2 linked regions of the Arabidopsis thaliana genome follow. The protein of the gene in region 2 interacts with the protein of the main gene of each other region in a pairwise test. Each region holds a gene or a part of one and is shown on either strand. Other genes may lie near its edges.

Region 1 (5,420 bases), 1.5 Mb from region 2:
CGAGCAAAGTCATCCGCAAAGACTCAGCGAAGAAGACGGCGAAGAAATCAAGAGTGAAATGTTTCATCAAGCTCGTGAATTACCAGCATCTGATGCCTACACGTTACACGCTCGATGTAGATCTGAAGGAAGTAGCGACTCTTGATGCTCTTAAGAGTAAGGATAAGAAGGTGACTGCTTTAAAGGAAGCTAAGGCTAAGCTTGAGGAACGTTTCAAGACTGGGAAGAACAGGTGGTTCTTTACTAAGCTCAGGTTCTGAAGAAGAACCTTTGAGATTTTTATCTATCTATCTACTTTTTGTTTAGTTCTAGAATGAATTTGGATCATTGTTTAAGACCTTTTGGTTTGGAATTGATTCTGGATTTTGTCTCTTACTTATAATCTTTTGCTATATTGATGCCTCATTTTATATATTGTCACTGGTTTAATAGCTGAATTGATTACATTGTGGAAATGTTGTTTAAGGTTATTGAAGATGGTCACTTCTGGTTTCCAATTTCGAGATGTTGGAGTAGTATTGAAATGGGTTTCTCTGTCAAATCATTTTCCCTGTAGCCATTGTAGTCAGTCCTAGAGCCATTGTAGTCTCTTTTCTTTACTTGTAGGAGCATATAGAGAGTCTTAGATGCATGTTTGAGTTGTCACTGTTGATTACTTGATTTCGTGTTGATGTTATGGTGTTATAAATAGAGTGTTTTAACTTTTAACGAGATAGGTGTCGAATCTTTCTTTAACCTTGCTGTTTAGATTGAAAAGTTAGGAGATTGTTACGATTGTGTGAGTGGCCATGTATTGTATAGCCTTTGTGTTAGTTGATTTTTTCCTTGTTCAGTCATAGAGACCTGTTGCAATATACGAGATTGAAAACTATTATGTGAAATTTTTGATTTGTGTACAAATACTTGTGACTCTTAAAATGAAACTAACATTGTACAAAATATCACAATGAAAGAATCACAGAACAAGGTCTCTCAACATTTTGATAATCTATTATACATGCACATTGTGGTTTCTGTTTAGCAAACATAAACGAATTTCAGAGATATAGAACGCAACAATGCAAGCCCTTGCTTCAACCGTATTCTTTAAACTCCGTTCATGTTCTAAGCTTTTTTTGACAAAACACATCCTCACACTAATACCGAAGCAAATCTAGTAAAACATAACAATCATTGTAATGTGAGTCAGCACTTGTGATTGGTCTTGAAGTATAACAAATGTTCTTGAAGTATTAACACATTTTGCTTTTTAATTTATCATTCAACTTTACCTTAATTAATTTATGATAAGACTTTGAAAAACAATAATTATCTCTAGATTCTACAATCTCATCCAATATTTTTGACCCAAAATCATTTCTATCTTTGAAAAGACAAATTAAAAGATACCCCACATGAAGTCACTTATCATCATATCAGACCTTATACTTTATACAAATAATCACTTTAGTCCTTAAATTAAAAACCGATTTAACCACAAAAACAAGTTTAAGCCAAAACAAGACAAAAAAAATAAAAAATAAACAAAATTTGTCGTTTTTATAAACCAGAAAAGCTGCCCAACTTCTTCTCCTCTCGAACCCTAACGAGCCGGGTCATCTCAAAAATTTCTCCGACATTGCATTCCTCCGTCGCCTTCAGATTCTTCTCCAGCGTTCCTTAATCTCTTCTTCTCCGGTCGATTCCACCTTCTTCATCCCCAAAACCGAAGTCCTTATACCGTAATTTTATCAAGTTTTTTACCGAACCGATTTCTTGCCGTAACCAACCCGGTCACAAACCTGCAAACCAAAAAAGGTTCGTTCTCTGTTCTTTCGATAATTCAAAAACTCTGAAATTTACGATTTTGCTGCACTGGGTTTTAGAATTTCGCTTTTCTTTGACGGGTTTGATTCAATATGATCCGATTTTTATCTAATCAACGAAAAGTTAACATCTTTGTTACGAAAGTTGTGAGCTTTTTTATGAAAGCTGATGAATTCTTCTTCTAAGTTTGATCTCGTAAATGTTTAATTGAAGGATCTAGGGTTTTGTAGGATGGATTCAGATTTGGAACCTGTAGCTCTAACACCACAGAAACAAGACAGTGCGTGGAAACACTGTGAAGTTTACAAATATGGAGATCGAGTTCAGATGAGATGTCTTTACTGTCGAAAGATGTTTAAAGGAGGTGGTATTACAAGGGTTAAGGAACATCTTGCTGGCAAGAAAGGACAAGGCACTATCTGTGATCAAGTTCCTGATGAGGTTCGTCTTTTCTTGCAGCAGTGTATTGATGGTACGGTGAGACGTCAGAGGAAGAGACGTAAATCAAGTCCTGAACCATTGCCTATAGCTTATTTCCCTCCTTGTGAAGTTGAGACTCAGGTTGCTGCTTCTTCTGATGTGAATAACGGGTTTAAATCGCCGAGTTCGGATGTCGTAGTGGGTCAAAGTACTGGGAGGACGAAGCAGAGGACTTATAGGAGTAGAAAGAATAATGCTTTTGAGAGGAATGATTTGGCTAATGTTGAGGTTGATCGAGATATGGACAATTTGATTCCTGTGGCTATTAGTAGCGTGAAGAACATTGTGCATCCTACTTCGAAAGAGCGGGAGAAAACAGTTCATATGGCTATGGGACGGTTTCTGTTTGATATTGGAGCTGATTTCGATGCGGCGAATTCTGTCAATGTTCAACCGTTTATCGATGCGATTGTTTCTGGAGGATTTGGTGTTTCTATTCCTACACATGAAGACCTCAGAGGTTGGATTTTGAAGAGTTGTGTAGAGGAAGTGAAGAAAGAGATTGATGAGTGCAAAACTCTATGGAAGAGAACAGGATGTTCTGTTTTAGTTCAGGAACTGAACTCCAACGAAGGACCTTTGATCCTTAAGTTTTTGGTTTACTGTCCTGAGAAAGTAGTGTTTCTGAAATCAGTTGATGCATCAGAGATATTAGATTCTGAGGATAAGTTGTATGAGTTACTTAAGGAGGTAGTTGAAGAGATAGGTGATACTAATGTTGTTCAAGTTATTACCAAATGTGAAGATCATTACGCAGCTGCTGGGAAAAAGTTGATGGATGTGTATCCTTCTCTATACTGGGTTCCTTGTGCTGCACATTGCATAGACAAGATGCTTGAAGAGTTTGGGAAGATGGATTGGATAAGAGAGATTATCGAACAAGCTCGAACTGTTACAAGAATTATTTACAATCACAGTGGTGTTTTGAATCTGATGAGGAAATTCACTTTTGGCAATGATATTGTGCAACCAGTCTGTACCAGTTCCGCTACAAATTTTACAACAATGGGAAGAATTGCTGATCTAAAACCTTATTTGCAAGCAATGGTTACATCATCCGAGTGGAATGATTGTTCGTATTCGAAGGAAGCAGGTGGATTAGCAATGACTGAGACTATCAATGATGAGGACTTCTGGAAGGCATTAACATTGGCGAACCATATAACTGCTCCGATTTTGCGTGTTTTGAGGATAGTTTGTTCTGAAAGGAAGCCTGCAATGGGGTATGTCTATGCAGCAATGTATCGAGCAAAAGAAGCAATTAAGACAAATCTGGCTCACAGGGAGGAGTACATAGTGTACTGGAAAATTATAGATAGGTGGTGGTTGCAGCAACCTTTGTATGCTGCTGGTTTCTATTTGAACCCAAAGTTCTTCTATAGCATCGACGAAGAAATGCGTAGTGAGATCCATTTAGCGGTTGTTGATTGCATAGAGAAATTAGTCCCTGATGTCAACATTCAAGATATTGTCATTAAGGACATAAACTCATACAAGAATGCTGTTGGGATTTTCGGAAGGAACTTAGCTATCAGAGCTCGTGACACAATGCTTCCAGGTACGCCATTTATTAATTGAATCTCAAAAAGATTTCATATGTTCAAGTGTTTTGTAAGTAGTTAAAACATGTTTGATTCCTGTAGCTGAATGGTGGTCTACATATGGAGAAAGCTGCTTGAACCTGTCACGTTTTGCGATACGTATTCTGAGTCAGACATGCAGCTCATCTATTGGCTCAGTGAGAAACCTGACATCAATCTCGCAAATATATGAATCAAAGAACTCTATTGAGCGACAACGGCTCAACGATCTTGTATTTGTTCAGTACAACATGCGCCTCAGACGAATGTAAGTTGGAATCTTTTGATCTTCTTGATTACTATACTGTCTTTTGTTCAAAACAGAACTTAAAAGGATTCTCTGTCTGTTTCCTCTAGTGGCAGCGAAAGCAGCGGAGATGACACGGTAGACCCGTTATCACACAGCAACATGGAAGTTCTTGAAGACTGGGTTTCGAGAAACCAAGTTTGTATAGAAGGAAATGGAAGCTCAGACTGGAAGTCACTCGAGTTCATTAAGAGGTCAGAAGAAGTAGCTGTTGTTATCGACGAAACAGAAGACTTGGGGTCAGGTAAAAGCTTTGCAGAACCTAGTTTTTGTGAATATCTTGACAAACATGAGAGAAGTTGTTTAAAAGGTGTTTTGAATGAAATGCGTAACAGGTTTCGATGATGCTGAGATATTCAAAGGGGAAAAGGAAGCGAGTTACGAAGGCGGTTATTCGGAGAATCTGTTCACTTGAACTTGCACCTTTTCCTGTAATCATCATAGGGTTTGATTTTGTGATTCTTTCTTAGGGTTTGATTTGTATTATTAATAGAAGTCTTTACCAGCTTTAAGTTGTATCCCAGAAACTAATAGTTACTCTTCTTCTTCTTCTTCCTCTTCTTCTTCTTTACTCAGTAATGAGAACAAAAACCATTTTAGAGATGTTGATTGATATTTACTAAAGCTTTCTCTCTTGTCCATATAATATTGTTTGGACATAAGCTAATCTTGATTCTTTAAAAGGATAAGTGAAAAAAAAGAGTTGAATTCAGATGCTATCTATATAAAGAGATATTATTATCCTCAAGAGCCTTATCCTGAAAGTTTGGTTCTGAGAAGAAGAGAAGAAAATGGAAGGGATAAGCCATATCGCACTCCCTGTTCTTGGAATCGTCGCAGTCTCGGTCGTAACATTCTATGCCGTTAGCTTTGCCGAGATCAGAGAGGTTCACTGTTATGAAACTACTCCTTATTCTCAACATTTTTGATCTTTTACATATAATTTTAAGAAAAAATCAAGTGTGTGTGTGCAGAAATCGTTTAAAGATGTGTACGACTCGGAGAACGAAGTTGGGTTCAAGACTTCTCTAAGTTCAAGGGAGAGAAGATCAAAGAGAGAAGCAAACAAAAAACGTCCTAAATCTTGATTCCAAAAATCACCATGATCCATGATCGTTTTGCTTTTCAATGTTCGTACAAATAAACAATTCAAAAGAGTTTGGTTATTGTTAACTATGGCTGCATTTTTGGTTTAGTAGATGATCTTGATCACATCGTCAGATGTTGTCCCATTATTGTTTATTCCT
Region 2 (4,900 bases):
CTTTGGTTATCTTTGGCATTTGTTGCTTCATCGCCAGCAGAAGATACATCTGGGACAAAAAGAGTCTCTTTAGGACCGGCCATTTGATTAGAGATCACAGGAGGTCCTTTATAGTCAAGTCCACGATAAACCACCATTACACTTCCGGCCCTCCATATCACCATTCCACCAGTTCGACGCTGCCCATTAGAGTAATTCAATCAGTTTTTTTTTAAACCTAAAGTTAAGACATGCATCTCCTGCACAGTCTTGTTACTCAAAGAATTCTAACAGCATGCTCAGCTCCATCCACTCTAGTTAATCAACACCTCAAATTCACCTTATTCACAACTATATAATCGTTCCCAAGAAAGATCTAACGTTTTTCACAAATTTCCTACTGTTATTATAAAAGCTTTATAACCATTCTATTTCAGAGCTTAGGTACTTCAGAGTCTCTTACTATCCTATAAAGATCATGTCACTTCCGCAAAGCTTATCCCCAATAGATAATGAAAACCGCTCTCTCTTGGAATAATCTCGCACCTCAAATTTCGCTAACCTACTGTTCTAATCAATGAAGTATTCAAGAGAACTAACGAACCTCAACAATCTCATGGGCCGTCTTCATGTCACGAGCAAGCACTTCGTGGAACTTTAGCCTCACAAGCTCTTCTTTCCTCCAAGTATCATAAATCTTCTCCATCACTGCCTGCGTTAGCCCAGCTTTTGGTATATTGATCCTAACCCTCAGATACATTCCATCCCTCCTTAACCGCCGTAACTCAGAATCCTCAACGGTGAGCTCCGCCAGTGATGGAGCTCTAGCTCTCCTCTTCTGCATCACCGCCACTCCTCCTTCTCCTACTACTCTCTCCGCCGCCTGCTCTTCCTCATTTTTCTCCCATGGCAATAATACCTCATCCTCTTCCTCACTCTCTTCTCCCTCAGCAAGCATCATATCAGGTCTCACCCACTCTCTCTTCAACAAATCCCCCAATCTCTCTTCTCCAGTCACCGGCTTCACATCTCCGCCGTTAATTCCACCTCCCTCGTCATCTTCCACATCGTCCTCATCATCCGAACCTAATCCTAAATTCCGTAGCCGAAGAACAATCCTCTCAATCGCGTTTTGTCCTTTATCCTTCTCCAAATACCGAAGTTTCGCTTCCGCTTCCTCCTCCGCAGACCGAATTCTATCTCCGCCGTTGTTTTCACCACCTTTCTTCCCGGCATGATCACCGCCAGCTCCGGAGGATGACGGAGGCCACTTATCTATCCAAGGAGGAGTAGGTTTATGATTACGTTGATCTAATCGACGATTGTTATTGCTCCTGTTGTTGCTACGCTCGCTTGTACGCAGCGAAGAGAATGGCCGAACAATTTGTTGACGCGAGGGTTTCACACCCAACGAATAGAAGAGCAATGCGTGAAGCGAAGGAGAGGAACAATAGCGAGAGCTAGAGGTCAGAGGAAGAGAGCTTCTCAGTGGCATTTCCGTAAAATTAAGTGGAGCCAAAGCCATTGACGACACTAAGAAATTTTTTTGGAAAAAAAAGCTTCAGCGAAGTGTCTTCTTCGCCATCGTTTTGGATACTGAGAAATAAGTTTCAGGCGGATAAGCTGGATTTACTCGACCATACGGATAAGATTTTTGTATCGGTTTTAGGAAAATGGGCCTTTAATGGGTTTTAAAAGCCCATTACTACATGTTAAGTTTAAAAAAATTACACAGGTGAAAAGTTATATAAGCGACGGAGTCGGGTCTGAGTAAAACCGGTTTCGTTGTCGTTGGGTCACCGGCCGTACTAGAGAGATTCACCGTGAATTCGAATATTAAGTGAGAGAAGCTCCGATTGATTTCACTTTCTGCCGCCAATTTTTGTTTTTTCTTCGGTGAGACGAAGAAGATACCATGGGTCGACCTCCCAGTAATGGCGGTCCGGCGTTTCGATTTATCCTGCCTGAGGTTTATCTCGATTCTTTGTAATGTGTTGCTTTCACGGATTTTGAGCTCCCAGAGCTGAAAAATCTGATTTTTGTGTCGGTTTTGTTCCTTAGGATTTAGGTCTTCTTTTTGGGTTCATGATAGGGTTTAGATCCTGAAGTCCAATTGAATTTTTGTAATTAGCTAGTAGAAACTTGAAGACAATTCGATGTATGTTCTGAAATCCATTGGCTTTACTTTATTAAGTAATGTTTAAGAGTTTAGATTTGATAATACATAAGTTTTTCTATCTATCTGTTGTTCTATGGTTTTGTGACTTCTTTTGAAGAGGTTTTATCTTGTTTGTTATAGCTAATCTTCAATTGTTATGAAGGTAACGGAGATGGAAGCAATTTTGCTACAGCATAATACAGCAATGCCAGGTCGACATATTCTTGAAGCTCTTGCTGATAAGTTTAGGTATTTTACTTGTTGTTGCTCAATTCCTTGGCCTGAAAGTGATTTTGTGTCTTTATCATCTAAAATGTGGTTACTTTTTGTTATCTGTTGTCTCAGTGAATCACCTGAGCGGAAGGGGAAAGTTGTTGTGCAGTTCAAGCAAGTACTGGCTTTTTCCTTCTTGATTCTTAAGTTTTATCAGACAGAGTCTGTTGGGTTTGCTTTTAAAAGTTAATGGGAATGTTGTTTTAATGCATCACAGATCTGGAACTGGTTTCAAAATAGGCGATATGCTTTACGAGCAAGGGGAAACAAAGCTCCTGGGAAGCTAAATGTATCTTCCATGCCGCGTATGGATTTACCAAATCAGATGAGAAGTGTGATTCAACCATTATCAGTTCCTAAAACCACTCATATGACTGGAAATTTACCCGGCATGACGCCTGCCCCTTCTGGTAGTTTAGGTGCTTTATTTATTCTACTCTCAGTAAAATAGGTTGAGAAGGTTATTTATTGGAATAGGTTTCATTGGTTTTTTCAGTTTTAGTTTTTTCTCCATAAGTCTAGATCAGTATGGCTGATATTGCACAGATGCCATTTTCGTAACTGTTTACTGCTTTTCCTCATAGTTCCCGGTGTCATGAGGAGTGGTTCAGACAACTCTTACTTGGAATTTGAAGCCAAATCTGCCAGGGATGGTGCATGGTGATTCCCTTGCATTCAATCTTCAGTATTTTTTTTGCTGACTTATGATACTTTGTAACAATATCATTACATTCCACTGGTTTTCTCTGATATGTAACTCTCTTGCTTACTTACAGGTATGATGTGCAAGCTTTCCTAGCTCATAGAAACTTGGAGATTGGTGATCCGGTAATTCCTAACCAACCTCTTGTTGACTTATTTGTTCCCCTTTTTTGTTTTGCTAACAACAATCTTTCTGTTGGGTATTTCAGGAAGTGCAGGTTCGATTTGCGGGTTTCGAAGTTGAAGAAGATGAATGGATAAATGTCAAAAAGCATGTAAGACAACGGTCTCTCCCATGTGAAGCATCAGAATGTGTTGCAGTTCTTGCTGGAGATCTCGTCCTTTGTTTCCAGGTTTAGAACTTCGCTCTCTAAGCATTTAGTGATAGGTGTCATGTTAGTTTATCCCTGACTAGAACTATGTTATAACATCTTCAGGAAGGAAAAGATCAAGCTCTTTACTTTGACGCCATTGTTCTTGACGCACAGAGAAGAAGACATGATGTCAGAGGTTGTCGTTGTAGGTTCTTGGTGCGTTACAGCCACGACCAGTCCGAGGTTGGACGATCATCTCTCTCTCTCTCTCTCTATCCCTTGCGGTTTTATTTACCCGTCAGCTCCATTTCATGGTTTAGACCATAAAGCAAAACCCTCCTCACTCACCTATTTTGGATTTCTTTTCCGTTATCCCAGCAGGAAATCGTTCCCTTGAGGAAGATTTGTCGGCGGCCCGAGACAGATTACAGGCTACAACAACTTCACAACGCCGTAAACGATTTGGCTAACTCAAATCAGCATCAGATACCCGCTCTAGATGCGGCTGCAAAAACCCCTCTGTCACTACCCGGAGCTACAGTTCCCATTGTTGCACCCGAGTCAAAAGATCCGAGCCTGAGTGCCACTCCAGCCACTTTGGTTCAGCCTAGCTCCAATGCAGCTACTGTTCCCGCTGGTTCAGCCTAGGCCATGTAATTTCTATCCCCGTTTGTAACAGCCATTTTTCACAGTTACTAGTAGAGGTTAACTTGGGATCATATGCATTGTACTCTCACACAATGAATTAGTCATCTAAAGCTGTATCATGCCATGTTACTTGATCCTTCATGTATGATGGAATATTTATGGTTTAGTCCGGTTTATTCATCATCTGTTGATGGTCACCGGTTTTTTACTCTTTTGAACAAACATGCTCGAATCATGTGGATTTATTCTTTTCAAGGCTTAAGTTTACAAGTTAGGAATCTTACCTCGAGTCATTTAGCTTTACAACATTTGTGGGGATGAGAAATTAACCAATTATTAATCTGAAAAATATCTCACTGTGCTGAGGAGACTAGATAACACTTGAGGTCAAAAGAACTATTTTGCTTCTGTAAATGACTGATCAGCCTAGACACAGAACAACAGTTTTACAAACAATTACAACAGTTTTTATTGTTACAGAATAACAAAGGGAATAATAAGAAACTTACAGATTTGATATGTTACATATCATATGTATCTAACTTTGTAACAAGGGCTCAACTCTCTCTGAACATTTTATCCAATGCCCCTACATATCTATCTATATACATCATAGATGATTGTTTGATCGGGAAAAACAAGTGACTACATTGGTGCGGGTAATCTCCGGTTATAGGAGGATCCTGTCCCCGAACCCGAGCCTGATCGAGATGGGGAATGAGACGGGGCTTGAACTGGGGACGAGTTAAGAATCTCGAGACGGGGCTTGAGCTGGGGATGAGTTAAGAATCTCCTTACCAAGGTCTTTGATCTTGTTGATAAGCAG

What was found. Proteins that work in one complex are often made in the same cells at the same time.
Region 1: the proteins of SHH2 (region 2) and AT3G22220 interact in a two-hybrid assay, tested with the Arabidopsis thaliana proteins (one large-scale study listed by BioGRID).

Annotation. Positions count from the first base shown.
Region 1 is NC_003074.8:7,838,976-7,844,395, reverse strand, and holds AT3G22220 (hAT transposon superfamily), read left to right. Parts: upstream 1-1,521; 5' UTR 1,522-1,797; exon of another isoform or gene 1,798-2,036; 5' UTR 2,037-2,037; coding exon 2,038-3,844; intron 3,845-3,929; coding exon 3,930-4,134; intron 4,135-4,223; coding exon 4,224-4,417; intron 4,418-4,508; coding exon 4,509-4,588; 3' UTR 4,589-4,892; downstream 4,893-5,420. Other genes in the region: AT3G22230 (Ribosomal L27e protein family), read left to right, coding at 1-260; AT3G22210 (uncharacterized protein), read left to right, coding at 4,965-5,060, 5,148-5,261.
Region 2 is NC_003074.8:6,310,176-6,315,075, reverse strand, and holds SHH2 (DNA-BINDING TRANSCRIPTION FACTOR 2), read left to right. Parts: upstream 1-1,669; 5' UTR 1,670-1,894; coding exon 1,895-1,948; intron 1,949-2,300; coding exon 2,301-2,386; intron 2,387-2,482; coding exon 2,483-2,528; intron 2,529-2,627; coding exon 2,628-2,829; intron 2,830-2,994; coding exon 2,995-3,070; intron 3,071-3,186; coding exon 3,187-3,238; intron 3,239-3,321; coding exon 3,322-3,465; intron 3,466-3,549; coding exon 3,550-3,669; intron 3,670-3,804; coding exon 3,805-4,074; 3' UTR 4,075-4,357; downstream 4,358-4,900. Other genes in the region: EMB1865 (CRS1 / YhbY (CRM) domain-containing protein), read right to left, coding at 1-179, 584-1,504; ATSYTF (C2 domain-containing protein), read right to left, coding at 4,820-4,900.